Linked DNA regions of Sus scrofa. The main gene of each other region encodes a partner of the protein of the gene in region 2 in a complex. Links are inferred from orthologs where the notes say so. Each region holds a gene or a part of one and is shown on either strand. Other genes may lie near its edges.

Region 1 (3,978 bases), on a different chromosome or scaffold from region 2:
GTGGGGTAGTGGGGGTGTGGGTGGCGGTGCAGCAGCCAGGCAAACAAGTTGAATCATCTCTTGATGAATGCTTTACTAGCATATGGCCAAAGTACTATCAAAATATAAAAGAGGGAGGATTTAATTCTCTCTGGAGGTTTGGGGAAGGCATCACAAAGGAGCTGGAATTTTCAGGGATGAATAGGCTTTCTACAGGCTTAAAATGGGTGCTGGAAGCTGTGGTTGATGGTGCTCAGAAAGGCATTTGCTTGACCGGGGAACTCCGTGTACCAACTGTGAGGGGGTGGATAACCACCAGACCACTCCCATTTATTCATTACCCTCTTGGCCAAGCACCATGATAGCCAGTAGAACCAGTTTGAACAGGAGTTGATACTTCAGGCCAGACCTCAGATTTTTTCTCCAGAGTGGAGAGTTGCCAGAAAAAATACAGGATGCCCAGTTAAATTTGAATTTCAGATAAACGACGAATAATTTTTTAGTAAAGTCCCCGATACTAGGGACATAACATAAAAAATTATTTATCTGATATTCAAATTATTTAAAAAATTGACCTGACATTTGTGTATCTTTATTACCTCAGGCAATTCTACCAGAGGGGTAAGAACCTGGGGAATCGGCTGTGGCACAGATAATAACAAAACGCCACCACGACTCCGACTTTCTGTAGCCTTCTCAGCCAAAAGTCTGAATTGGAAGCCACAGAGAACAGGTTTCCAAAATGAGACGCTGTAACTAGGCAACCAAGGCACCAAACCCACCCGTCCGCAAGATCCGCGTTTAGAAGTGCGGTGCATCCTGGGAATGAGTTTTCTAAGTTCGGATTCGCCTCCGGAGGCGACGGGACTACAACTCCCAGGAGCGCGGAAGGGTCCTGTGAAGCACGCTGGGAGTGCCGGTTTTACTCCGTCGAAGGGTCCTGGTGGGCTGGCTCCTTGTTTAGCAAGAGGCCAAGGCCAATTTTGAGAAAATCTCAACATTAAGAATTCATATAAAAGGTTAAACAGAGGATTACTGCTTTCCATCGAAAGAAAACTAGTCTTCCGGAACATCGTGGCGATATGTGCACGCGCGCGCTGACGTTGCAACCCGCGCTGACGGGTGGGGAACTGAGCGTCTCTCCTGCACGTGACCCCAGCGCCTCTTCGTGATTGGTCCTCTCGGGGGCGCGGCGCTCGGGCGCGGACGCCCCGGATTGGTGCTTCGGGGCAGCGGGGTGGGACTCCGGCTGCAGCCGCGGGAGGTCCGGACACTGGCGGCCATGGGACTAGCCGGTAAGTGCGCGTTTGACCTCCCCGGGCTAGCCACTGTCTGCCTCTTTTAGCTGGGACTGAACTGCCCCCAGGAGAGCGTGGCCCACGATGGAGTGGGCGAAGCCGACCCGGTGTAAGGCTCGGAAGTGGGGACCGAGGGTCTTCGGAGTCGAGTGGGGATGAGGGTGCGCTTCGGCGGCCGCGCTGTAGCCGGTTCTGCGACGGTTAACGCGGGCAGAGCGAACGGCTCCGGGACCGCCGGCCTCAACCTTTTGCCCACTCTCTGGCCCTTTTCCTCTTGGGGCCTGGCGAGACCCCGCCTGACTCTGACGGGATCGCTGACTGAGTCGTTTCGTCCCTTCTTTGGCCCTGGCGCTGCCCAGCAACCGCTCAGTGAGTGAAGCCGGGACGGTTCCCTGGGGGTGGGTGAGAGCCCCTTCGCCTAGATTCCGAGGCTCCACCAGGTTTAAGGCTCCTCAGGACTCTCTGCTCCTCAGGACTGTTCAGGGACTCGGTGGCCGTGGCCGTATTTATGACCATCTCGCATTTGCCGCTTAAGTGGCCGGGTGGGGACCTCGGACAAATCGCTCAACTTGTGTGACTTCTCATTTGTAAAATAAGAGCTATCCAGTAGCTCTTTAAGCCTCTCTTCAGCTTTAAAACCTTAAGGTTCTGTGACTGTGACGTTTGTTGGGCTTTTACGCCGTGATGTTAGGCTGATTTCCTCACAAGATATTGCGGATTAATGACAGAACTTTAAATGATTTCATTTGGTTCTTTATTAACTGCTTTCATTATCGCTCATCTTTTAAAATTAAATGGAACTGGAAATTCGGGATTAGGTGACAAACCACAGAGGACGACTTAAAAGTGCAGACTTGAAGAGTGTCATGATTTGGTAGTAGTGAATCTCAATTAGTATTCAGGTCAACAAACACATAATGGAGTGTTTCTAAGACTATTTTTAAAGTAAAGATGACTGTTAATTTGCTTTTTTTGAGTTTGTGGTGAAATCGGAAACTCAGGTTCTAAGGATGGCTTCCCATTGAATAGTTGAGTTTCTGGAAGCATGGAAATCTCAACGTGTAAAGCTGAGGAAGAGTTTCACTCACTTTCCAAGCCTCTCTTTAGCTTTAAACAGCTAAGCATTGATAATCATACTGAATATTGAGCGTCCATTTTGTGCTGATGATCTTGGGAACCCCTGAGCTGAACATCTACTTTAGATGGAGAAAATGGCCCCAGGTCCCTCCCTTTGCATCTCTAGATCAGATTCCAGACGGAAGGGAGGGACGCTCCTGGAGGCAAAACCAAAATAACAAAGGTTAAGAAAATGGAGGGAGCGGCTTGATGTCATCATTCTTGAATAAGGAAGGAGAATGTGGAGGTCTGCGGCGGCGCTGCAGGTGACACTTTAAAAAGCTGCTCTCTGGAGTTCCCGTCACGGCTCAGTGGAAACGAATCTGCCTAGCATCCATGAGGACACAGGTTTGATCCCTGACCTTGCTCAGTGGGTTAAGGATCCAGTGTTGCTGTGAGCTGTGGTGTAGGTCGTAAAGGCAGCTCGGATCCCACGTGGCTGTGGATGTGGCCAGCAGCTGCAGCTCCGATTCGCCCCCAAGCCTGGGAACATCCATGTGTCGTGTGTGCGGCCCTAAAAAGACAAAAAAAAAAAAAAAAAAAAAGCTGCTCTAAAAGACCGTTCTAGGCGTTCATGCTGTGGCACAGTGGATTAAGAATCCAACTTCTGTGGCTTGGGTGGCTATGCAGGTGCGGGTTCCATCCAGGCCCGGCCTAGTGGGTTAAAGGATTCCGCATAGGTCCAGCCACGGCTCATATTCAGTCCCTGACCAGAGAACTTCTATATACCATGGGTGCAGCCATTAAAAAAAAAAAAAGAACAAGAAAGTTCTAACTCCAGGTATATCTTAGTATAAGCCACAGAATTTATACTAGCAGAACTTGAGATTCATTGAGTCGGTGGCTAAGCTCTAGAATGAGCTTCACAAACTTTTCCTGTAAAGAGCTATGTATTTAATTATTAGAATGTACTGGTTTGTTAGCATGGCAAATTATTATATAATGTGGTGTAACAAACATTATTTAAAATCCTGTAGCAGTGTTTTTAGAGCAAAATTAAGATGTAAGGGGAGTTCCTGTCATGGCACAGCGGAAACGAATCCAGCTAGGAACCATGAGGTTGTGGGTTTGATCCCTGGCCTCTCTAAGTGGGTTAAGGACCCCGCCTTGCCATGAGCTGAGCTGTGATGGAGGTCGCAGACGCGGCTGGGATCTGGCATTGCCATGGTTCTGGTATAGACCCTCGGCTACAGCTCCAATTCGACCCCTAGCCTGGGAACCTCCATGTGCCGTGGGTGCGGCCCTATGAAGACAAGAGACAAAAAAAAAAAAAAAAAGATACCAGGACATTGCAGAAGCTAGTTTTGTTATATGGCCCATAGTAAATGCTAAGCAAGCAAAGGTTGTTGAATTCATAAATTCATTATATGCTTTGTATTTCCAGGGGGAAAACAGGTTTATAGTAACGTGAAAACCATATTTATATCTGCATTTGGAGTATGGACTGTATTTTGTCTCTGAGCTGAGATCCCGTTTATTCTCTCTTTCAGGTATTAGAGGACACATATCTTAACTGGGTCCCTCCAAGGACTAATGCCTAAACCATCTCAGCATGGCCTGTAGTGGAGGAGGTGGGCCAAGCCAG
Region 2 (4,252 bases):
ACGCCATAAACACTACATGAACCGTTAAGTATTATCAAGAAAGCCCAGGATCGGCTAGAATGTATTTGCCCAGTTGTCGTGTACATATGTTTTGGAAGGAGTCTGCAATTGAAGGGCTTTGAGCGTCCAGGGCTCCTCTGAATCAAGGTACGTCACACTGGCACCTGCCAATATTCACCTACGCCTTGGCTCCATTTTTGGCCCTCGGCCTCCTTATTCCGTCCCCAAAAGGCTGGCTTGACTGGCCCTACTTGACATCTTAAACACTCTGGAACAGCTGGCCAGACCCGCTGCGGTCCCCCCTCCTTATTAGCGTTGGGGGGAGGTAGGATGCTCCGAAAAGGCGAGGGGAGGAGAGAGGGTTGGGTTTTCTCCCCCCCCAATTCCCCTCCACGGACTCGGCAGCCATTCTCACGAAAACAGGTGGCGCAGATAGAAAGAACACAAAACACAGAGGACAGGGCGTGCAAGAACGTTCACGAACACTCGCGAACGAACACCCGAAAACAGATCACGCACTTGACAGGTCCAGGGGCAACAGGCGCGCGGGGACACACGAGGACGCATCCCCCAGCGGACGATGCTGCAGCTGGGGTCACGACTGCAGGAGGCACGGCCACGCGCGCGTGGGGCGCGCACCCCCCCGGAGAGGGGCAGTGACACAAAAGGGGGGGGCCACCCACACTCCCGGGGGCGCCCACGCTGTCGACGAGAAAAACCTGCGCAGACACAAAGCGGCCGAGAGGGGACCCACGGGCGCGTGCCCACGCGCTCGGGCCGGTGCACGCCCCCGCACAGAGCGGACCGAGGGTGTGCAAGCGGCCGGGAGTGCGCACACAAAGGGGCTACTCCCACCCCCGCACACCCCCAGAGGTGACCACATTTGCAGAAAAGGGACACGAGACAAAGGGGACACACCCGCTAGGACCTACAAAGGCTGCCACACACACACCCCCAACGCACCGGCACTCAACCCACGCACACTGCGGGCACCAGAGCCAACGACGCGAGGCGACGCGCACACACCCACACTCACCACACACCCACGGAGGGGGTGTGGAGGGCCCCTCTCCCCGGGCATCTCCGCTGCAGCGCGACAAGGTGACACATCCGGGAGCCCTGCCGCGCGCCAGGTGTGCACTCACCGGGGCCGGCAGCCCGCGAGCCTCGGACGCCGGCCGCCGCCGCCGCCGCCTCGGGCCCTCCACGTCAGCCAGCTGGCGGCGGGGAGCGGGCGGCTGTGCAGGCGGCAGACGCGTCACGTGGGCTGCAACGCACATGCGCCGTCGCACCGCCCGGCCCCCACCTCCGCGGCGACGAGCCGAGCGATCCCGCCGGCCCCCGCGCCCGCGCGCTTCTGCCCAACGAGGGTCGCGGTGCGCCTGCGCGCGGGCGGGGGTTGCCGTGGTGACTCGGCCTTTCTCGGGTTTTCTGTGCTCTCGCACCCTGAGGCTCCCTGGTCAGCGCCTGCGCAACGGACTCAGTGCGGAGGTGGCGGAACTGCTGGGAGTGGCTGCGTGGGCCCAAGGTCTAGGGCCACCCGCGCCTCTCATCCCCAGGTTGAAATGAGAACCATAACCCCGCGAGAGGGCAGGGCACGTTCCTGGGCACCCGAAGCCCCGGCCTGGAGAGGCGGGGCACGCCTCCTATCCTGCCCTGCCTTTCCCTTCCCTTTTCGCACCAAGGCGAAGCCTGCAGAGCTGGAGCGGAATCAGTCCCTCCCCTGCTCCCCCGCTTCCCCGATCCTCCACTGCAGGCTATGCGCGCTCTGATGCGTGTGCTTGTGTGCGCGTGCACGTGCGGTTTGGGGGCTGGTTGCGCGTGCAGGCGAGGTATGGGTGCTCGTGTACACCACTGTGCGGGCAGTCTTGTGTTGGAGGTGTGTGTGCGCAGGGTGGTTGTTTGCAGTGGTTTAGGCTGGGAAGTAAACTGCAGAGGCTGCGCCCGTAGCAAAGCGATGAGGTTATAATAGACCAATGGTGAAGAGGAGTGAATCACTGACAGATGATTGTGTTTTTTTCCCCACAGATTTCCAAAAGCCACAGGGAAAATGGTGGAAAATTCACCGTCGCCATTGCCAGAAAGAGCGATTTATGGCTTTGTTCTTTTCTTAAGCTCCCAATTTGGCTTCAGTAAGTACTTTCCTGATGGATGGCCAGGTCCATTCTCTGGAGTTCAAGGACAAGGAAATGATTGCGTTTGTTTATAGAATATGCACACGTGAACTGTGACTCTTTCTACCTTTGTCTCTTCTTGAGAAAACCTGAAGGGAGCTCTTGTTTGTTCAGAGTGTTCTATATGCCAGACATTAGCGTAAAATATTTAATCTCAAATATTTATGTAGCACCAGACAGGATTGCCAGGTGAATGAAACCTGGTCCCTGCCCTTCAGGAGGTGACGGTTTTGTAGACAAGACATGAGTAAATCTGCAGTTAACACTGTGTTAAGTGCTGTGGGGACCCAGCAGAGAGACGAGACATTAAACTAGAAAATCAGAGTTAGTTTTCTCCCAGGGAATTTGTCTTCAGCATTAAGAAGGAAGAAGTGGGAAGGCCTTGAGCAAAGGCATGGTGGGGCTTGGAAGTAAGTAATGGTTTGGCCCTTGTGGGAGCTAGAGAGCGACAGGAATCAGGTTAAAGAAGGCAGCTGTGCTTTACATTCCCAGATCTCAGGAGTTCCTGATGTGGCGCAGCGGAAAGGAATCTGACTAGTATCCATGAAGATTTGGGTTAGATCCCTGACCTTGCTCAGTGGGTCAGGAATCCGGTGTTGCCATGAGCTGTGGTGGAGGTCGAAGACAAAGCTCTGATTCAACCCCTAGCCTGGGAACTTCCATATACCACGGATGCAGCCCTAAAAAGCAAAATAAAATAAACATTCCCGTATCTCAGTCCGTCCCCATAAGGATCCAAGCCTCGTCTGTGACGACAGCTCACCGCTTTTGACTGGATCCTGACCCACTGAGCGAGGCCAGGGATCAAACCCGAATCTTCATGGATACTAGTCGGATTCGATTCCAGTGCAGCACAACGGGAACTCCAACAGTGTTCTTCAGGTTTATTTTGGTTAGCAAAAAGAGATACTAATGTAGTCTTTCACAAACTCGAAATGGCTTAAAGCAAACTTGTGAAAAACAGGAGATACTTGTGCTTATTAAATGTTAGCTGCTGCTGCTGTTATCAGCGTCATCGTTTTTATAAATCCATGTTCTAAGAGTGTTTGAAAGATTAGAAGCTGTAAAATAGGTGACTTTAAGACCTAAATCCAATAGTACCCACAACCAGCAATTAATTCAGCAAATTTTTCTTGCATACTTACCATGTGCCAGGCACTGTTCCAGTCAAGGGAGGAGCAAAACAGCCCAAAATTTTCTGCTTTCATAGACTTTTCATTCTGCTGAGGGAAGAAAGCCAGTGGACAGATTAAATAAGTAAAACATGGAGTTCCCAACATGGCTCATCAGAAGCGAATCTGACTAGCATCCATAAGGATGCAGGCTCAATCCCTGGCCCCGTTCAGTGCATTAAGGATCTGGCATTGCCAGGAGCTGTGGTGTGGGCCGAAAATGCGGCGTGGGGCCCGCGGCTCACACCACAGCTACAGCTCCAGTTCCACCCCTAGCCTGGGAACCTCCATATGCTGTGGGTGCAGCCCTCAAAAGACAAAAAAAGACCAAAAAACATGCAGAATGTCAGATGGTGATGGAATAAAGAAGGATAAGGCGTGGGAGGAAATAAGGCGTTGCTGTTGTAAATACAGCAGTCAGGAAATGCCTCGGTCAGATGACTTTTAAGCACAAACATGAAAAGTGAGAGTCAGTCATGTGGAGAAAGAGCCTCCCAGACAGAGACTAGCCAGTGGTTTCAGGGAACAGGTAGAGGTCGGTGAGGTTGAAACCTGCAGCAGTGAGGCAGAAAGTAATAGGACAGAGGAGGTCAGAGGCCAGTACCCAGCAGCTGTGATGAAACTAGGTGGTGGGTATGGGGGCGGCGATGTTACATGACTATCTCAGTGCATTGTCAGAGTTCCCGTCATGGCTCAGTGGGTCGAGAACCTGACCAGTATGAGGATGGAGGTGAGATCCCTGGCCTCACTCGGTGGGTTAAGGATCCGGCATCGCCATGAGCTGCAGTGTAGGTCACAGACATGGCCCACGTTGCTGGGGCTGTGGTGTAGGCCGGCAGCTGCAGCCCCTTTTTGACACCTTATGCTGCAGGTGTGGCCATTAAAAAAAAAAGCTGATTGTCTAAT
Region 3 (4,282 bases), on a different chromosome or scaffold from region 2:
GAGTCCTGAACAGCTCCGTCCCCCTTGGGCCGGGGGGGGCCTTCAGGGCAGCTGGGCTTGAGGGGGGCCTCAGGGCCTGGATGGGTCCTGTGGGCCCCCCGCCTGGGTCTGCCCTGGCGAAGAAACGGAAAGGGCCGCAGCCTTATATCGGCCAGGCCCTCACTGAGCCTTTTTGGTCACCTTCTGGCTCTTCAGCATCACGGAGGTGATGAACACTCCTGGAACACACGGGCCAGAAAGGCCAGTTAAGGTCCTGGCTCAGGGCTGCTGGGAGGCCGGAGCAGGACAGAGCATGACAGAGGGACCCGCAGGCGGGGCCAGGCACCGACCCAGCCACCCTCCAGGTTCCCCCGGTCATCTCCCAAGTGGCTCGCTAAGCCACACCCCCACCTATATTCATTCAACAAACATCAGCCGAGGGCTGACCACAGGCCACCTGCTGGATTTGTGTTTCCGATTTTACAGGGAATAAGATCCACCCAACCATCCATCGACTCAGCTAGTCAACCATCTGGCCACCTACCTCCCCAGCTGCCCACTCAGCACCTACCATCCACCTACCCCATCATCCAGACACCTGATTGCTGACTCACTCAAATGACTTTTTTGAGCACCAACTCAGTGCCACAGCATGTGCTGGGCACTGAGGACACAGTAATGATGAAGATACAGTCTTTGGCCTTAGGAAGCCCACACACTAAACCCTGGGAGTCAGAGGGGTGCAGGAATCAGAGGCCAAAGTGACAAGGGGGTGAGGGGTGATGGTGGTGGAAGGAGCAGGAAACAAGGAGACACCCCATTAGAGTCCAGTGAGCCTGAGGATCGAGAAGCCTGCAGCCCTGAGGGATGAACACGGAAACCCCAGGGGGTGAACTGAGGGCAAGGAGCCTCCAGCAGGTGTACCGCAGGGGCCAAAGTACAGCCGCATGTTCAGGTGTAGGAGAGGGTCATGGGGTCCCTCAGACACCCCGCCCAGGGTTGGGAGAACTTACCCACAAAGAGGAGCAGCAGGAGGCCGGCGGCCAGCGGGATAGCAACAGCATAGGCCCGGGGCAGGAAATACTTGTGGATGACATGCTGACTGTCAATGAATGGCTGGCACAAGGGCAGAGCTCCGGTGAGCATGCCTGGCTCTGCTGAGCGCCCCAAGCCCAAACATCCCACCTCCTCTGTCTCAGGGGCTGACCCCGTCAAAGCGCTGGGGCTGCATTTGCTTTTCTTTAAGATGATGGCATCTTGGGTGCTTTGGTTGGTTCCCTTCCTTCATTTTTCTACAAGTGGTATACTAGGTACTTCCCTGGTGCCTGCTCTAAGCTGCTGCTGGGGACCTGGCTTAAGTCCCCCACAGCTTAGCAGGGGCAAAGGGTACATGAGGAATCCCAATCTGGGCTCCAAGATCTTTTGTTTTTGTTTTTGTTTTGCTTTTTAGGGCTGCACCCTCGGCATATGGAGGTCCCCAGGCTAGTGGTGGAATCGCAGCTACAGCTGCCAGCCTACATTACAGCCACAGAAATGCGGGATTTGAGCCGCATCTGCAACCTACACCACTGCTCATGGCAATGCCGGATCCTTAACCCACTGAGCAAGGCCAGGGACTGAACCCGCAACCTCATGGTTCCTAGTTGGATTCGTTTCCACTGCGCCATGACGGGAACTCCACAAAAGTTTTCTTTACTAAGATTTTTCTCCCAAAGAACATCAAGTTCTGCAAGATTTTGCTTCCCAGAGTTCCTGTCGTGGCTCAGTGGTTAACGAATCCGACGAGGAACCATGAGGTTGTGGGTTCCATCCTTGGCCTTGCTCAGTGGGTTAAGGATCCGGCGTTGCCATGAGCTGTGGTATAGGTTGCAGATGCCGCTTGGATCCCACGTTGCTATGGCTCTGGTGTAGGCCGGCAGCTACAGCTCCGATTCGATCCCTAGCCTGGGAACCTCCACATGCCACGGGAGCGGCCCTAGAAAGGCAAAAAAAAAAAAAAAAAAAAAAAGATTTTGATTCCCAAACACACTGCACATTTTAACACATTTTTCCACCGGGGGGGGGGGGGATATCCCAAAGACCCTCACAAAACCCATTGGCACTTGTCATGCCCAGGAGCCCGCAGGATAACCAGAAGGACTAGAACTCCCATTAAAGGCACAGGACCTTACAGTGTAGTGGTTCAGGATTCTACCTTAGGTCTGAACCTTCTCCTTGAGCCTCGGCTTCGTCATCTATACAATGGGGACACCGCTAGTGTCGTCCTCCTACTGCTGCTCTGACGCTTTCATTACATGGGCAGGTAGGCCTGTCACGTGCTTAAATGTTAGGAGTTGGCTTCAAGATCTAGGGATAGGAGGTGAGAGCGGACGAGGAAGCACACATACCAACAGAATCACCCAGGTGGTGTAGTACGTGAAGATGATCAGGCTAACGGCGACGAGGCCGAGTCCCACCACCTGGTCTGTCCCTGTGGCCTGGAGAAAAGGGAAAGCTCAACTGAGGAAGTGACCCTCCATTTAGGTGCACTAACGGAGGGGGGAGTTGCCGCCTGATTACGCCCATTCACTCAGCAGGCGTATCCGACGTGGCTGACGAGGTTTCCATTTCCTGGCTTGAGACAGAGTGCAGGCTAAAGACCTACCACCCGTACGATGGGCCGGCGGGAGAGTGATCCCGGCTCCCGAGAGCTCAAGCCTCAGCTTCTGAGTAGACCTAGGACCCCACACCCAGACGCCCTCATTCCCAGGACTCCCAGCCCCAAGCTCACCATTTCCCCAGCGCTCCAGGCACCGGAGCCGTAAGCCACATCCGGTTCCGCATCCGGGCCCTCCTGGCCTTGGGCCGCGGGGCCCGTCGGGAGTCGTAGTCTTTAGGCAGTCCCAGGACTACGTCGCCCAAGACAGGCAGGCACCGCCTCCCCTTTGCATTTCGGGAAATGTAGTTTTCAAGAGTATTGTGGGCCGTGTTTCCGAATCACCCTGGGAAATGGGACCCAGTGGGGAACCCAGATAGGCTGCATTTATGGTCTCAGTCGGGTCGAACTCGACCCAGAAAAAAACCCCATCTCAATATCCGAGTCCCAAGGCCAGAGCGGGATGGGGTGGGGGGTCGAAAGTCCCATATTTGAGACGGGGAAAATGAGGCTCAGAAAGAGGCAAGCACTTGAAGATCACAATCCGAGTAGAGGGTGCAGCCGACTCCAGAACCCGAGGGCGCTACTTCCTGGTGTGGTGGCCCCAACTCTTCTGTTGAGGGTAGGGTGCAGACAAACGTTCACCGGATAATGCTGAGGGTGGAAGCCTTAACTAATTTTACTCCACAATCTCTTAATGATACTGCAGAAGCTATTCCTACCCTAAATATGGAACAAAAACAAATAAGAAAAGTAGTGCTGCAAAACCGAATGGCCTTAGACATACTCAGTGCAGGCCAAGGAGGTACCCGTGCTGTCATAAAATCTGAATGTTGTGCCTATATTCCTGATTATTCGCAGAACGTGTCTGATTCCCTGCGAGATCTCCGGCAGCAGATTCGTGAGATGTCTGATCCAGCTCCATCCAGCTTTTAGAGCTGCCCTCTGGAACGGGTTGACCTCCTCCTCCTCCTGATGGAAATATTTGTTCACCATAGTCATCATTGTGATCTTGAGCCTTTTATTTGGACCCTAGATAATTAATTGTAGGTCTTGCTTTGTTATGTCCTGATTAAAAGCTATCAACCTACAGATAGTGAAAGAAAGGGTACCCAAGGTAATGTATTGAAGCCCACTCAACCGACCGTGCCATGAGTGGAGACCTAACCACTTTCCCTAAGGACACCCCTTGTCAGCAGGAAGCAGTCAGAGCAGTCGGTCATTGTCCCCCCGCCTCCAAAGTTAAAGTCTCCAACTCTGGGGGCAGGGGGGGGGGGCACTGAGGCAGAATAGTCACTCAGGTAGTCAGTGTTAGGAGCTTGGGCTTCGATGCATTCTTGGATATGTCTATTGATTAACATTTGCGGCTAAAGGGCTCCAGGGAGTAACATCCCCACATGCCTTGTTTCCTCCAGGGAGTGTACCTACGCCCAGACGGACATTAATCTCAAAGCCCCCTGACTCAGGCTACGGGAAGAGAAGGGCAAAGACACCATGGGACTTACGGGACATTTCCACCCCTAAGACCCTATTGGACAAGGACTGAACTGGGCAAGGCCAATGGGAGAAAACCACAGCTTTCTGGACCTCACGTTGGTTACCCCCCCCCCATCTTTAAGGGATAAAAACCCCAATAGAGAGTGGGGCTCTTCTTGCCCTTCCCAGCTG
Region 4 (4,173 bases), on a different chromosome or scaffold from region 2:
GTTACATTGAGTTCTTAGGCTTCATGAGGGTAAATACTGAAACATTTGTTATACTTCTGAAACAGTTATTGTACTAATCAGTCTTATTGAAAATTCTGGAAAATCAATAACTATTAATGTGTCAAATGCTCATGCCCTTAGTATTGCTAAATAAATAGGTCTCTTATGGCAGAAAAATAAACTGAAATGTGGCTCAATAATCGCCCTAACTAAACTCAACAGGACACAATCAGCTATTTGCCAGTCTTTCAATTCCACCTCTCCTCACAGCACATACTTTCCTGGGAAATTCTGTTCTATTTTGGGTGCCTCTCTAAACATATAATTTCCTTGTCTTTGAATTATATTCTTGTGACCAAAAGGAAAAAAAAAAAAAAACCAAACACAAAACTGCAAATTGTTTTATGGAAAATGTCAATATCTTATTAATAATGTAAGCCATCTGATGCCAAAGAAATGAAGGCAATTTTACCAACTCAGAATTTTGGCAAGTACATGAAATTTACATTTTATTATAGTTTTATATCACACTAGTCCAAATGCATTTCTCTACAATTACTCCCCATAGCTCCTTGGAATTATCTCAGTCATCCTTCACATGTGGCTTTACCAAAGGCTTTGAACCTAAAAACAAACCTACAATTTCGAATTAGTAATTTTTAATTATGAATGGGATAAGAACAAGCCATCAGATGATGGCTGTGGGGGTGCTAATTTCCAACAAGCCACTTTGTTGAAATGTTTCTTCCGAGAGACCAGGTATAAATCAGAACCTTCAAAAAGCAGGGGAAGAACCAAAATACAAGAAAGAAGCCTCTTGCAGCTTAAACGTCACATAGTCCTAAACCTCTGACAAAGGCTAATAAGCAAAGCCTCTTTCCTGCAAAGTCTGGGTTTCCAGTATTTCCATGTGGCGGAGCTTTCGGACACACTCACTCAAGCATATCATGAGTTTAAATACCATCGTGGCTCCGGCTGCGTTAATTATGCCGGAAGAGTTTAATACCCATCCAAGTCCAGAGGTGGAAGAACACGTAAACGGGGATGGTGATGGGCAGGAGCAGACTGTAGAAGCACAGGCTGGCTGTGCTGGTGCAGCCCTGGGGGAAGCTCTCTTCCACGGAGGCGGAGTACAGCAGTCCTCCCAGAGAGACCAGGGGGACAAGGACAGTCAGCGTGGGAAGAGACAGAAACATTCTTCTCTCCCACCCACCACCCGCCACGCTGGCTTCTTCGAAGGTGGATGGTGTTTAGAAAATTTCCTTGTGTTGTGTTTACGTATGACCTAGTGCTGCTTCATTTCTTCTTGCTTCTTATTTTGATGTGTCATCCTAGCTGCCTGTGGTATCATATTAGGAATCCCGTCAATAATCGGATAGGCTATTCCCAGCTCTTCATTAATCAATTCATTTGTCGATGGTTCATATCTGAGGGGCAGAAGAAAACCAAAATGAATCCCGGAAGAGTCTGAGGTTCAATAAACAGTAACATTTATCCAATTCTTCACACAGTTAGAGCCAGAAAAGCAGAATTAGACTGTTTTTCATTCTAAAAGCAGCAGTAGCCAATTCAACCATTTCTCTTAGAAAAGGAATCTCTAATTGTTCCCATTTTAGTCTGTTTCTCTCATTTTCTTTTTCACGTTATTCTTAAGCTATGCCTTAGTGGAAAAAAAAAAAGAAAAGATCTCTCCTTTTCATCCAAATATTCCTTCATGACTCTTTTAAACCCTCAAACGATCCCAGCTAATTTACTACTGGAACAGACACGAGAGGAAAATTCAGCTTCTTCGCTTATCAGAACACCTGCCTCACTGATCCATGAGAAGGAAACCACGGAAGCAGCAATCTACCACCCAAAGGCAGCCACTGATGACACTGCGGTGTTTGCTAGTATTGTCCACGTTCAGGTTTAGCAGCCTGCAACTGCAGAGATGTTTATCCTAAAGAGTCTAGGTGAAAGGTTAAGAAGGCCTTTACAGAACCGGCTGGTCGAGAACTAAAAACCAAAGGGCCGCACACGTAGCTGATGCGCTTAAGATCCTACCCGGCGTTTTCGCAACAATCTGGAAGCTATCACATTTTTCATCGCCTTGCCTTAAAAATCTGAATGCCATGGATTAGTCTTCCGAATCCCGAGTTCATAACCCTGGCTGTACAGGAAGATCACTTGGGATCCTTTCAAGAAAATACGCAGTTGCTCTGGCTCGGCCCCAAGGCCTTCGGATTGAGCCCGGGTGGGGCGTTGCCTAGAGATCTGCGTTTTAAGAAGGATTCCCCCGAGATTCTAAAACGCTGCCGGCGGAGAAGCTGCCCGCCAGGATCCAGGCCTGCGAGTGGCCGGTTTGGTCCGGGAGGCCTGGGGCTCGGCTGGGGCCTCCTCCCGCCCTTCCCGCGGCGGAGCGAGTACCCGGGAAGCTGGCGGGCCCGGGTCCAAAACATGGCAGCGAAGAACACCCGGGTGACCTGAACGTCTCCCCGGCGACAGGGGGCCACCAGGGAAAAGCCGCAGCGGACGAATCTTACCTGAGCGGCTTCTTGGACAGCGGGCACACCAAGAACTCCAGCAGCGCCGGGTCGAAGGCGCGTGGCGGTTTCCCCTCCTTCTTGTTCTCGTCCGCGGACGGCCGCGAGCCCGAAGCGTGCAGGCACCTCCTGGCGACCGCGGACGGCGGCGCGCGTGTCCCTCGCAGCGCTAAGGCGAGCCGACCGCGCGCTCCGCTCAGCATGGTCTGGCCGCCGGCGCGCGGACCTCCGCACCCCCTGGGCCGCTCCGGCCGCTCCAGCCGATCCCGGGGAGTCCCGCCCAGGCGGCCAGGCCCCGCCCCCCGGTGCTCGGGAAACGCTGCCCCCGACGGCTGGAGGCCCGCTCTTTGGTTCCGAGGGCGCTCGGGACCCGACTGCTTTTCCCGCGGCACCGCTCGGTATGGAGAGCCCCGCCTGCAGCCTGGGCTTTCTGCGGCTCTTCCTGCCCGTTTGCAGGTTGCAGACAAAACCCACGCTCAAGTGGAGGCGTCCTGAGTTTTCACCAGGGCCTGTCGCAGGGCCTCCAGGAAGCCAGTGGCCGGACCTCAGAGTCACACAGTGATAGACTTGGACCTCCGTGGTTATCACCAAAAGGAGGTTTCCAACACACTGTCACACTGGGTATGTTAAAAAGCATTACTTGTTTTATGTGTATCTGTCAGTCTTTGCAGTACCACACTTCCTATAACCTTGTTTGGCTTTTTTTTTTTCTCCTTTCATTAAAAAAAATATAAGAACGGGAAAAGAATGGCTTAGTCCTCTTAAACTTAAGATGCCCAGTTTCTTACCCTGGGCTCAATGGCATAATAATAGCACCACTCATTTGCTTCTGTAAATGAGCTTGGAAACCGCAAGGAGTCTAAGTAACTGTGTCCTTTAATTAAGTGGGTGATCCACACAGTGGTTTTTTTCTCGCCCCGCATTTGCTTCTGACTCTCCCAGAAAATGATGCGGATTTGATCTCTTTCTTATAGTGTAGGAGGTAAGTGCCGGGGGTCCGGGCCTGACACCTTGGTCCCAGGTGCATCGTTTACTAGTTGTAGGGCTCCCGCAAATCTCCTAACTCCCCAGCTTTCTTTTCTTTTTCTTTTTTTTTTTTTTTTTTTTTTTTTTGTCTTTTTGCCATTTCTTGGGCCGCTCCCGCGGCATATGGAGGTTCCCGGGCTAGAGGTCGAATCGGAGCTGTAGCCGCCGGCCTACGCCAGAGCCACAGCCACGCGGGATCCGAGCCGCGTCTGCAACCTACACCACAGCTCACGGCAACGCCGGAACCTTGACCCACTGAGCAAGGGCAGGGACCAAACCCGCAACCTCATGGTTCCTAGTCGGATTCGTTAACCACTGCACCACGACGGGAACTCCCTCCCCAGCTTTCTTATCTGTGTAATTAGATTAATTATTGTTCCTACCTCATATAATTCCATCCTGGGGCTTAAAATGTGCTAATGAATGCAAAGAGTATTTAGAAAAATGCCTGTGGCAAATGAATGCTCAGTTAATGGCATATGTTGTCATTTTTATTTTCTCTATTCTTTGCAGCCCAGTATACTAGAAGATTCTTGGTTAGTCATCAAAATCCACCCCCTTTTTTTGTCCTTTTAGGGCCGCACCTGCAGCACATGAAAGTTCCCAAGCTAGATAGAGCTCA
Region 5 (2,705 bases), on a different chromosome or scaffold from region 2:
CCTCCTCCGCCATCCCCCGCAGGGCCGAGGCTGGGTGAGGGGTGGCGGCGGGCGGGGTACACCCTCGGGGACACCCTCCCCTTCCCCACCCCCTCCCCAGCCCTGTCCCCGACCCAGCGGGCGGGCGTTGCCCTTTTCAGCGCCTGGGACCCTCCAGCCCCCTGCGGCGGCCGTGAGATGCCGGGGCTGGGGTCCCTGCTGCGGTGAGGGAGCCTCCCAGGGCGTCTGGTTTGTGAAGCAAAACCTATCATGGTCTCCATGGAAGACGTAAGGTCGGGCCATAAGAATTTTCTTCGCAGACCTGCTGGATGATCTTGGTATTTCTGACTCTTAGTTTTGCAGTAGTGGAAAGGAGATCATTATCTCCGATCCTTCCTAGAGTTTCGCGTTAAATAAGTAGAATGATAACTCTTTTTAAGGCTGCTAAACTCGGTCAAGGGATTAAGAATCTCCAGTCCTTGGCTTTAGTTAAATAAACCTTAGAGCTTGTACCTTTATTATTATGAGGTTTTTGTTTTTAGACCGGTAACTTTTTTCAGTAATAGATGCCTCTGAGAACCCAGTAAAAGCTTTGGATCCTAGCCTTAGAAATCTGCATAAATTACAACTACAAATATGCATTGACTGGGAGGGTTGTTGAAGGGTCTGAAGCCCATCCATAGACCTCAGGGATATGTGAACCCCTGAGTTAAGAACTAGTTTAGAGGGAGACATGTGAAGCCTTTGGGAAAGAAGTTTCCTTTGAATCTGGCTCCACTAATTACCACTGTTAACTTGGGCTAAAGTTACCTAAGCACTTTGAATTGCTGCTTTATTAGTTGGGTTAATCTCCAGGATTGTGGAGATTAAATGAAAGAAGCTACGTAAGGCTCTTAGTACATAGTATGCACTCTTGACAAATGGTAGCTGCTAAGGGATTATAATGTAAAATCTGAAATGAAATTTTAATGTCCTCAGTTACATGATGGCCACCATATATATTTTGTTCAGACTTCTAATAAGCTTATGATAACCCAATAAGTTGGTTTGATTTTAACTCAGTCCTACCCTTGACCTTTCACAACATTCATAGATTCACAGTCTCTCTTTTTCTAGGAACTTGGCTATATTGTCCTGCCTCAGAGAACAAACTCATCTACTAAAGGTCTAGCCTGGGTTCTGCCTTTGAAAGCAAGGGAAGGTTGGTACCATATCAACCACATTCAACATGAAATTTCCAGAGAGGTCTTATTTCAAAACTTTATAAAGAACAAGAACCACATGGACTTCTACAACGGAGATTGAACTAGCCTGAGTTTGAGCAAAAGGATAATGTGTTCACAGCCTGTAACTAACACCAAAGAGGCCAAGTGGCAGAAGGTCTTGTATGAGCGACAGCCCTTTCCTGATAACTATGTGGACCGAAGGTTCCTGGAAGAGCTCCGGAAAAACATCTATGCCCGGAAATACCAGTATTGGGCTGTAGTATTTGAGTCCAGTGTGGTGATCCAGCAGCTATGCAGTGTCTGTGTTTTTGTGGTTATCTGGTGGTATATGGATGAGGGTCTTCTGGCACCCCACTGGCTTTTCGGGACTGGCCTGGCCTCTTCATTGATTGGCTATGTTTTGTTTGATCTCATTGATGGAGGTGAAGGACGGAAGAAGAGTGGGCGGACCCGGTGGGCTGACTTGAAGAGTGCCCTAGTTTTCATTACTTTCACATACGGCTTTTCACCGGTGCTGAAGACCCTGACAGAGTCTGTCAGCACTGACACCATCTATGCCATGTCAGTCTTCATGCTATTGGGCCACCTCATCTTCTTTGACTATGGTGCCAATGCTGCCATTGTATCCAGCACACTGTCCTTGAACATGGCCATCTTTGCTTCTGTCTGCCTTGCCTCACGCCTGCCCCGGTCCCTACATGCCTTCATCATGGTGACATTTGCCATCCAGATTTTTGCCCTGTGGCCCATGTTACAGAAAAAACTGAAGGCATGTACTCCCTGCAGTTATGTGGGAGTCACACTGCTTTTTGCATTTTCAGCCTTGGGAGGCCTCCTGTCCATTAGTGTTGTGGGAGCCATACTCTTTGCCCTTCTGCTGGTTTCCATCTCATGTCTCTGTCCTTTCTACCTCATTCGCTTGCAGCTGTTTAAAGAGAACATTCATGGGCCTTGGGATGAGGCTGAAATCAAAGAAGACTTGTCCAGGTTCCTCAGCTGAGTTTGGTGACTTCCATTCTGTTACTAAGACAAACTGATAGACTAGCCCTCCAACTAGTATAAGATTCGAAGGCAGAATTCCATTCTGGAAGCAGCATGCTGATGTGGGTGGGAGATCAGAAATCAAAAGAAAAAGTTAACCAAAGGCTTGGGTGGTGAAGGTGCTTATCCTTTCTGTTATTTTGTGGCGGGAAAAGCTTTGTGGGGCCCTCTTCAATTATTGCCTCTCATTCAATGTAACAAATGAAGTGATGTGGTTTCTATCTATTAAAAAAATTAACAACACATCCATCAAGTTGTCTCACAATTTTTCTGTAAGCAGAAGACAGACAAAAGGGACACAAAGAATATGTGTGTGGATTTCCTGTCGTGGCTCAGTGGAAACGAATCTGACTAATATCCATGAGGACGCAGATTCGACCCCTGGCCTTGCTCAGTGGGTTAAGAATCTGGCGTTGCCATGAGCTGTGGTATAGGTCACAGATGAGGCTCGGATCTGGC
Region 6 (3,500 bases), on a different chromosome or scaffold from region 2:
CAAAAAGACAAAAAAAAAAACAAAACAAAAAAAAACAAAGTTCCCTTCTGAGGCAAATAAAGGCTTTCAGAAATGTTATAAATGTATACAAATTTTAGAGATAAAAATAAACCTAAAGCAACTTCTGCCTATAATTCATCATTCAGGATTTCCCACTGTGGCACAGCAGAAACGAATCCGACTAGTATCCATGAGGATGAGGGTCCAATCCTCAGCTTCGCTCAATGGGTTAAGGATCCAGCATTGCCTTGAGCTGTGTAGGTCAGACAGGGCCCCAATCCTGCGTTGCTGTGGCTGTGGTGTAGGCCAGTACTGTAGCTCTGATTCAACCCCTGGCCTGGGAACCACCATATGCCGCCAGTGCGGCCCTAAAAAGCCAAAAAAAAAAAAAAAAAAAAAATCGTCATTCAGCCACTTTGTCTCTGTCAGTCAGGCAGTATGTGATTTTACAGAGATGCTACTGATCTACACCTACTGTTCTACACTGTTTGGTGTGTTCCTTTTCAAATCTGCGTATTCTCATGCAGCCACAGAGGCCATTATACTGATTATTTTAAATAATTGTATCATATCAAATATCAGTTTATTTAGTCACTCTTTTGTTCACTTTTGAAATCATGTCCAGGTTTTTTCTTACAAAAAAAAAAAAAACACTTATACAAACATGATTATAATATTTTATAGATATATAAAATATTTATGTATGCAGTAAACTGTCTCTCCACCTTTCTTTTTTCACAAAGGATTTAAGGCAGCTAAGCTAAAAGCCTTTTGCATTATAGTTCAAAATTATTTTACTAAAGCTTATGAAGTTTCAAAGATTTTTGACAGTGTTTGAGAGTTGGCTCCAGAGACTGGACACCTTTACCGTATTTTGGGAATTTGTACTTGCTTTTCTATAGTCTTGACTAACAGTGGGTTTAGCTATTTTTTAGTTTAGTGTGTAGGTAAAGGAATTTAGAGTTATTAAATTTGTATCCTTTTTTTTTTTTTTTTTAAGGGCCGCAGGTGAGGTATATCCAAGTTCCAGGCTAGGGGTCAAATCGGAGCCGCAGCTGCCAGCCTACACCACAGCCACAGCAACGCCAGATGCAAGCTCACCACAATGTTGGATCCTTAACCCACTGAGTGGGGCCAGGGATCAAACCCACATCTTCTTGGATGCTAGTTGGGTTCTTTTCTGCTGAGCCACAATAGGAACTCCTGTATTTCTAACTCTGTCAGTGCAAAGAGACTTTTCATATTTCCTTGTATTATCTATATTTTCTTGTTTTAAACTGTCCATCTCCTCTATTAGTCAAGTAGAATCTAGATACTGATTATGTGTTGTAACGATTCACATGTTTGGGGTAGCAAACTTTTATTAAATTTGCTTTCCATGTATTTTTTTCCCATTCTGTGGTTTTTAATTTGTATTACATTTTATTATGTAAAATAATTTTTGATATTTACTTTTCTCTTTTTTTTTTTTTTGGTCGCACTCGTGGCATGTGAAATTTCCTGGGCCAGGGATTGAACCTGTGCCACAGCAGTGATAGCACTGGATCCTTAACCCACTGCACCACAAGGGAACTCCTCAATAGTTACATATTAAACTGCCCTTCTTGACTCTGAGAACTGTTTCGCTTCCTGTGAGGGTCATCCTTGTTATTCCTCTTGCTTGCTCTTAGATGGAGATCATGAAATTTAGACAGATTTAAAACTGTTGGAGTTCCCTTCGGGGTGCAGCAGCAACAAATCCGACTAGGAACCATGAGGTCAAGGGTTTGATGCCTGGCCTCGCTCAGTGGGTTAAGGATCCGGCATTGCCATGAGCTGTGGTCTAGGTCGCAAATGTGGCTCGGATCCCCCATTGCTGAGGCTGTGGTGTAGACCAGCAGCTGTAGCTCCAGTTCGACCCGTAGCCTGGGAACCTCCATATGCCATGGGTGCGGCCCTAAAAAAATAGTTTAAAAAGTAAATAAAACTGTTGAGCTCCTGCTCTGCAGTTCACAGGCTGGGCTGTGGGCCTACAAAGGGACTCCTCCCAGCGAGGTGCTGTGAGGCCTGAACTTCTGCCTCTGAGGCCACACCCGTGCCGTTTGGACCCCCTTGTCGTGGGTGAGAGACTGCAGATGCAGCAGCCCTGAGCACTCTGACGTTCATCCTGACTCTGCACTTCTCCCCCTTGGAATTCAGAGTGCCAAGCCCCGGCTGGACTGCTTGATTGAAGTATACAGGAGCTGCCAGGAGATCTTGGCACACCAGAAATCCACGTCAACCAGCCCGTGAGTCCCAGCATTCGTGATCAGTATTATCTCCCAGGGGAGGTGACTCCTCAGCCACAGCGACTGGTTTATTTTCCGGATTCTAAACCATCAAGTGGATGCAGGCCCAGTAACCAGTCTGGATGCGGCGGATCCCAGAGCCATAGAGCAGCTGACTGGAAATCTAACTTATTTTCCGTGCGATGCAGCGGAAAATATTTATGTATGTTTTAGGGTTTCCCCTGTCAGGTTTTGTGTACTTTACCAACTGAGGGGAGACCTCGAAACCATACGTCAGAAGTAACACTGACAAAGAGCACTTTGTGAAATTCCTGAGCACATTCAAGTTTACTTTTTGTTGCAATTTGTGGAGCAAGAAAATGGGAAATCGATTATCAGATCTCTTGAGAAAGGTAATTTCCAATTGCACTGTACCCCTGTATAAAAGTTGAGAGGGAGGGAAAAAAAAGCCCTTCAGGTACTGGTTGGTAGGAGGAAATGTCCTACAAAAGATGAGCCTCTGCCCATCTAGCGCCCATACAGGGTTAGCTTATGATGATTCTCTTAATAAGCAGATCTCTTTCCAAAACATACAAGGAATTGCTTGGTTCAGGCAGCTGCTTTTTATTGACAGACTTGATCATGGCATTTCAGTCATGGGGGTTAAGCACATTAATACTCTCGTTACTCAGCATTGTCTATGGTTTCAAAAACTTCTTTTGCCAAGAGGGATGAGACAAAAAGCCAGACAGAAATTTGACTCTGGTTTCCAGATATGTTAAAGGCCAGACTACAGAAGCCTCTGTTTACATGGCAGTTTCTTCTGTGTAAAATTAACGAATTAGGGCAGGATTCCTGAAGGGCTGGGAAGAAGATGGGGCGGGGGAATAGCTGGATCCCCAAATTCAGTATGAACACAGCTCCAGTCTTGCTTACTTTTTCTTTGGGATTTTTTTAAAAATTCCTGGGTAGGTGATAATATTCTTATTTACTTTAGAGCCACTCAAGATCTTACAAAACTAGAGCTGTAATTTCTGCCTTTTATACCAGCCCTGGAAGGGTTATTCAGGAGCCTGCGGGGACATGGGACATGTCACCTGTTGAGGTAGAAATGTCTCAGCTAAATCCCAAATCCTGGGGGAAGGGCAGGAACAGAAATGGGAGACAGCTATAAAATTGCCAGCCTGGCAAAGTCAAGTTTGTTTAAAAGAGGCCGACACTCTGATGTGCTGCTTTTTTCGTCATGCCTGTTGA
Region 7 (3,929 bases), on a different chromosome or scaffold from region 2:
CAGACAGAAGCCGGCGGGGAGGGTGTGGCTGGGCTGGGCTCATCAGGGCAGTCTGGGAAGGGGCGCGGCCCCTCACAGTCCCCCATTTTCAGAGGCGCCCCAGGTTCTGAGCCTCCTGCAGCTTCTCTGGCCTCAGCCGAGGTAAGGGGGGGCAGAAGAGGGGCTGCCCTGGAGGCGCCCTGGGCTGTCACGTGGCTGAGCTGTGAACCTCCAGGCTCCTGGGCGTCTTCTCCCACAGGAGGCTGTCTGAGCCGTCGTTTCCTCCTCCGCAAACGAGGCTGCAAGGGCATGGGGACAGTTCTTGTGAGGACAGACTCCTGCTGCTGAAAAACAGCAGGAACAGGAGGCCCGGAGGGGCGGGCAGGTGCGGGGTTACTCTGAGTCTGGGGCCCAGCCTTGCTCCCAGTTCCAGTGAGGGGGTCTTCAGGGGGAGGGGACAGTGCCTAGTCCTGCCCGGGCGGCTGGTGAGGGATGCTTCTGCCTCTCACAAGGACTGTGGTTTAGGGGTCTGTGGTTTGGGCCATTGCCTGACAAGGTCCCGCCTATATGTTCCGGCTCTGCGGAGGTGGCGGTGGGTTAGCGGGTCAGTGTGGAAAGTTCTGTTGCCGGTTCTCAGTAAACATTAGTTGCTGCTGCTGGTGTTGGGGGTATTTTTCCCTGGAGCAGGAGGGGCCATCAGATCGGATGGCTTCAGCCTCTGGGCTGGCCCTCCAAGCTCACGTGGCCCCTGCAGGAACCAGGATGCTGGGAGAGGGGAGCCGGGAGATCCCACCCAGGACTTGGGGTCCTTTCACCTGGATGGTGGGGGGCAAGGAGAGGGCGGGGATCCTCATTTGTCAGGTCTAATGGGTCCCCAGACGAGGAAACTCGGGATGGGAGAGAGGTTTGGTGGCTGCGGCAAGGTGGATGACTGGAAGGCAGGGGTGTTGGGGACACTGTGGGTAGGCTGGAGGTGGGACAAGGGCTTTGTGCACAGAGCGTGAGGAGGACCAAGGTGCGCGGCGTGGGTCGGGCAGACGGGGACGCTATGGCAACAAGGGAGTCATTCTGGCCACACTGGCTCGAGGGTCCGGAACGTTGCATGCGGGGAACGCTTGTGCGTGAGGCCGGCGGGCAGCCCGGGCACATTTGGGGACGGACCGTAGCGCGGCAACGCCGGGAGCGGGCGGAAATGGGGCTCCTGTCCCGCGGCACGGCCGCGGCGGGGCTGGGGGCCGTGAGCGCCGTCGTCCGCCCGGGCCCACCCGTCGTTGTCCCCAACCCCATCCCGACCCTGCCGCCCGAGGGGGCGGCCCCGGGGAGCAGCCGGTGAGCACTCAGGGGGCGGGCCAGCGTCCTGCGGCGCGACCTTGGGGAGCTGCCCCCGCCGGCCTGTGGTCCCGACTCCCGCCGCGCCGCCCGACAGACCCGGGAGCCCGAGGGTCTCCGGAGCCGCGCTGGCCTCCTGCTTCTCGGAGCTTCTGTTTCCTCATTTGTAAAATAGGGACGCTGCCGGCCAGGGCGGGCTTGAGACTTGGGAGGGCGGTGAGGCCCCGCCGGGTCCTCCTGGGGCCCGTCCGCCAAGCCCCGCGTTTGCGGCGGGGCGGCGTGGGTGCCCTGGCGAGGAATCTGGTCCCGGCCCTGTGGGGTGAAGGGAGGCCAGCCGGGTCCCTCTGGCCCAACCTGGTTCCCGCTGTGGACTCTTTGGAAGGGCATTCAGGGTCATTGGAACCGGCTGTCAGCACTTTACAGCTGTCCCTGACTGCAGTAAAGGGCAAAACCCAGAGCCCTAGATTCGTGTCTCTTCTTCTGAAATGAGAGAAGAAAAGCACTGTTTACTGAACGCTTGTTGTGTTCTAAACACAAACACATAGAGTAAGAACGGATCTTGTGAGCTCTTGAGGAGCGCGAGTCTCCACAGGGGAGGGCTAGAGACGTCCCTGGCTGGTTGTAACTGGGCTTTTGCCCTGGATCCACTCGCGCAGAGGTGGGAGGCCTTCAGCCTCATGAGGTAGGCTACTGAGTTGAGCTTGCCAGGCGCCGGGCATGCCCGCATTGGCCTTCCCCAACGGATCTGGAACGGGCCGGGTCCCAGAGGACAGACCGTCATTCTTAACAGAGGCAGCTTTCCCAGGCTTGTGCACAGTCTTTAAAGATGTTCGAGGCGCGGGGTTGCTGCCTGCTCCCTCCCGTCTGCACCTCTGCTATCGATTGCCTGCTCTTTCATCTTTTCCTGGCGGTCTGATCTGAGAGCCTTCTTTGTGCTGGTCCCGCCCAGAGGCTGAGGCGGGGTGGGGATGGAAGCTTGCCCCATGATTTAAGAGAAGAGCGCTCTCTCTGCCCCACGGACGGGAACACCACCCTTTGCTCTCTGCTCTTCCCTAGACAAGAGGAGCTTTTTTTGGGAAAAGTTTGTAGATGAAGCATAAAACACACAAAGAAAGTGCACCTACAGGTACAGCTCAATGAATTTTCTGAAAGTGAACTCAGTGTGTAGCCCACTTCCCCCAGAGCCCCTGCTCGCTCTTTTGCCCGTGGCCTGCAGCAGCTTGATGTGATCTCAGTTCCCAGGCCGGGAACAGAACCCAGGCCGCAGCAGTGAAAGCTCCAGGTCTTCACCGCTAGACCCCAGGGAACTCCCTCCCACCAGTTGTGTTCAGTTTCTGACATCGGCTACGGGCAGTTTTCCTTAGGTCCTGTGAAAGGAGTCCCAGGCAGGGTGTGATGCTGTCATTTGGCTGAGCTGGTGTGTCCGATGGGCTGGTGCTGAGAGGCTTGGACCAGGCTGGCTGGTCCCCCAGGTGGTCACCCAACCAGATGTGCCAGGACCCTAAGGCAGAACGGCTCTGTCCTCACAGTGCCCCTCAGAAGGGTCAGGAAGGCCAGCTGGTCCTTGCTGATGGCCACAGAGACTTTCTCCTGGAGACACTCGCGTGGCTGGCCCTCTCTGGTCTCTGGGCAGAGGGGCATTTGGAAGCCTGGCTGCTGGTTGACTCAGGGGACCCTTTCCATTCAGAACCCACAGGTGGGAGAGGCCTCCCCCTTCAGCTGTGCCCTGACTACCTGGCGGGAGGAAAGCAGCTGCACCTGTTGCCCCTCCCAGACTGCTCTAACCCTCAGGAAAGGCATGTCCTCAACATGTGTGTCCTACTCTGTCCCCTGTTCCCCAAGGCTAGTTGGAGGTCCTGTAAGGCTGGGAAGGCTGGCGTCCCCTCTGCTGTTCCCCTGGTGGGAGAACTTCTAGACCCCTCCTTGGTCAGGGGAGTGGGTCCTAGAGGAGGGCGGGGCTCCAGGGAGGGGGGGCAGAGCTGAGTGCTGGAGGCTCCAGTGGTCTGGTGGTCGTAGAGAAAACCCTAGGCAGCTGGCCTGTGCCCTGGGCGCTGAGGCTCCCCGGGGGAGGGTGCGGGCTCCCTGGGGCATCAGGCCTGCCCCCAGGCATCTTCTGGGCCCGCCTGTGCCAGAGCCAGCTGCCAGTGCCGGTGCCCTGCCTCATTTCCTTCAGCTCAGCAGCCATTTAATTTTTCGTCTTTGTTCTCGCTAACTTAGAAAATCAAGGTTTGTTAGATTTTTAATTTACATTAGTTGTTCATGAGATCGTACGTTTTTCTATGTGTATGCAAAGAACTGTCATCAGGTCCTTAAAAACAAAAATTGCACCCTTGTGCCCAGCTCTGTGCAGTGCCCCCCCCCAGCTTGCTCGGCTCTGAAGGGGGACGTGTGCCCCTGCCTCAGGGTGGGGTGGGAGCAGCCTGGGCCGAAGACGGACAGCCGGGCCTCCCCACCAGCCTTGTGACCAGACCCAAAGCTGGGTCACCCCGACCTGTGGGCCCAGCGGCCAGTGGATGTGTCTGTCAGGGCCGACTGGGCCACATGTGGGCCAGGGCCCACAGGTCGGGCGCTGCCAGCCAGCCCGTGGTGCTTGCGGCACAGTGGCGGCGGCGGCGGCAGCT

What was found.
Region 1: PIGP (region 2) and PIGA share a complex: the UniProt entries of both Homo sapiens proteins name them as parts of the glycosylphosphatidylinositol-N-acetylglucosaminyltransferase (GPI-GnT) complex. The link is inferred for Sus scrofa from reciprocal best matches to the Homo sapiens genes PIGP and PIGA.
Region 3: PIGP (region 2) and DPM2 share a complex: the UniProt entries of both Homo sapiens proteins name them as parts of the glycosylphosphatidylinositol-N-acetylglucosaminyltransferase (GPI-GnT) complex. The link is inferred for Sus scrofa from reciprocal best matches to the Homo sapiens genes PIGP and DPM2.
Region 4: PIGP (region 2) and PIGY share a complex: the UniProt entries of both Homo sapiens proteins name them as parts of the glycosylphosphatidylinositol-N-acetylglucosaminyltransferase (GPI-GnT) complex. The link is inferred for Sus scrofa from reciprocal best matches to the Homo sapiens genes PIGP and PIGY.
Region 5: PIGP (region 2) and PIGC share a complex: the UniProt entries of both Homo sapiens proteins name them as parts of the glycosylphosphatidylinositol-N-acetylglucosaminyltransferase (GPI-GnT) complex. The link is inferred for Sus scrofa from reciprocal best matches to the Homo sapiens genes PIGP and PIGC.
Region 6: PIGP (region 2) and PIGH share a complex: the UniProt entries of both Homo sapiens proteins name them as parts of the glycosylphosphatidylinositol-N-acetylglucosaminyltransferase (GPI-GnT) complex. The link is inferred for Sus scrofa from reciprocal best matches to the Homo sapiens genes PIGP and PIGH.
Region 7: PIGP (region 2) and PIGQ share a complex: the UniProt entries of both Homo sapiens proteins name them as parts of the glycosylphosphatidylinositol-N-acetylglucosaminyltransferase (GPI-GnT) complex. The link is inferred for Sus scrofa from reciprocal best matches to the Homo sapiens genes PIGP and PIGQ.

What each region holds. Positions count from the first base shown.
Region 1 is NC_010461.5:11,883,689-11,887,666, reverse strand, and holds the start of PIGA (phosphatidylinositol N-acetylglucosaminyltransferase subunit A), read left to right. Parts: upstream 1-1,178; 5' UTR 1,179-1,261; coding exon of another isoform or gene 1,262-1,274; intron 1,275-1,280; exon of another isoform or gene 1,281-1,386; intron 1,387-1,392; exon of another isoform or gene 1,393-1,646; intron 1,647-1,652; exon of another isoform or gene 1,653-2,741; intron 2,742-3,883; 5' UTR 3,884-3,945; coding exon 3,946-3,978. UniProt on the Homo sapiens protein: Catalytic subunit of the glycosylphosphatidylinositol-N-acetylglucosaminyltransferase (GPI-GnT) complex that catalyzes the transfer of N-acetylglucosamine from UDP-N-acetylglucosamine to phosphatidylinositol and participates in the first step of GPI biosynthesis.
Region 2 is NC_010455.5:200,692,631-200,696,882, reverse strand, and holds the start of PIGP (phosphatidylinositol N-acetylglucosaminyltransferase subunit P), read left to right. Parts: upstream 1-1,452; 5' UTR 1,453-1,559; intron 1,560-1,572; exon of another isoform or gene 1,573-1,832; intron 1,833-1,834; exon of another isoform or gene 1,835-1,879; intron 1,880-2,028; 5' UTR 2,029-2,050; coding exon 2,051-2,132; intron 2,133-4,252. UniProt on the Homo sapiens protein: Part of the glycosylphosphatidylinositol-N-acetylglucosaminyltransferase (GPI-GnT) complex that catalyzes the transfer of N-acetylglucosamine from UDP-N-acetylglucosamine to phosphatidylinositol and participates in the first step of GPI biosynthesis.
Region 3 is NC_010443.5:268,420,758-268,425,039, forward strand, and holds the start of DPM2 (dolichol phosphate-mannose biosynthesis regulatory protein), read right to left. Parts: upstream 2,801-4,282; 5' UTR 2,753-2,800; coding exon 2,750-2,752; intron 2,457-2,749; coding exon 2,367-2,456; intron 1,096-2,366; coding exon 993-1,095; intron 219-992; coding exon 160-218; 3' UTR 1-159. UniProt on the Homo sapiens protein: Regulates the biosynthesis of dolichol phosphate-mannose. Regulatory subunit of the dolichol-phosphate mannose (DPM) synthase complex; essential for the ER localization and stable expression of DPM1.
Region 4 is NC_010450.4:130,526,198-130,530,370, reverse strand, and holds PIGY (phosphatidylinositol N-acetylglucosaminyltransferase subunit Y), read right to left. Parts: upstream 2,801-4,173; 5' UTR 2,729-2,800; coding exon of another isoform or gene 2,526-2,728; intron 1,428-2,525; coding exon of another isoform or gene 1,286-1,427; 5' UTR 1,197-1,285; coding exon 981-1,196; 3' UTR 388-980; downstream 1-387. UniProt on the Homo sapiens protein: Part of the glycosylphosphatidylinositol-N-acetylglucosaminyltransferase (GPI-GnT) complex that catalyzes the transfer of N-acetylglucosamine from UDP-N-acetylglucosamine to phosphatidylinositol and participates in the first step of GPI biosynthesis.
Region 5 is NC_010451.4:114,824,585-114,827,289, reverse strand, and holds PIGC (phosphatidylinositol N-acetylglucosaminyltransferase subunit C), read left to right. Parts: upstream 1-1,311; coding exon 1,312-2,205; downstream 2,206-2,705. UniProt on the Homo sapiens protein: Part of the glycosylphosphatidylinositol-N-acetylglucosaminyltransferase (GPI-GnT) complex that catalyzes the transfer of N-acetylglucosamine from UDP-N-acetylglucosamine to phosphatidylinositol and participates in the first step of GPI biosynthesis.
Region 6 is NC_010449.5:91,306,349-91,309,848, reverse strand, and holds part of PIGH (phosphatidylinositol N-acetylglucosaminyltransferase subunit H), read left to right. Parts: intron 1-1,000; coding exon of another isoform or gene 1,001-1,012; exon of another isoform or gene 1,013-1,053; intron 1,054-1,988; coding exon 1,989-2,129; 3' UTR 2,130-2,178; coding exon of another isoform or gene 2,179-2,271; 3' UTR 2,272-3,500. UniProt on the Homo sapiens protein: Part of the glycosylphosphatidylinositol-N-acetylglucosaminyltransferase (GPI-GnT) complex that catalyzes the transfer of N-acetylglucosamine from UDP-N-acetylglucosamine to phosphatidylinositol and participates in the first step of GPI biosynthesis.
Region 7 is NC_010445.4:41,173,566-41,177,494, reverse strand, and holds the start of PIGQ (phosphatidylinositol N-acetylglucosaminyltransferase subunit Q), read left to right. Parts: upstream 1-1,129; 5' UTR 1,130-1,171; coding exon 1,172-1,308; intron 1,309-3,929. UniProt on the Homo sapiens protein: Part of the glycosylphosphatidylinositol-N-acetylglucosaminyltransferase (GPI-GnT) complex that catalyzes the transfer of N-acetylglucosamine from UDP-N-acetylglucosamine to phosphatidylinositol and participates in the first step of GPI biosynthesis.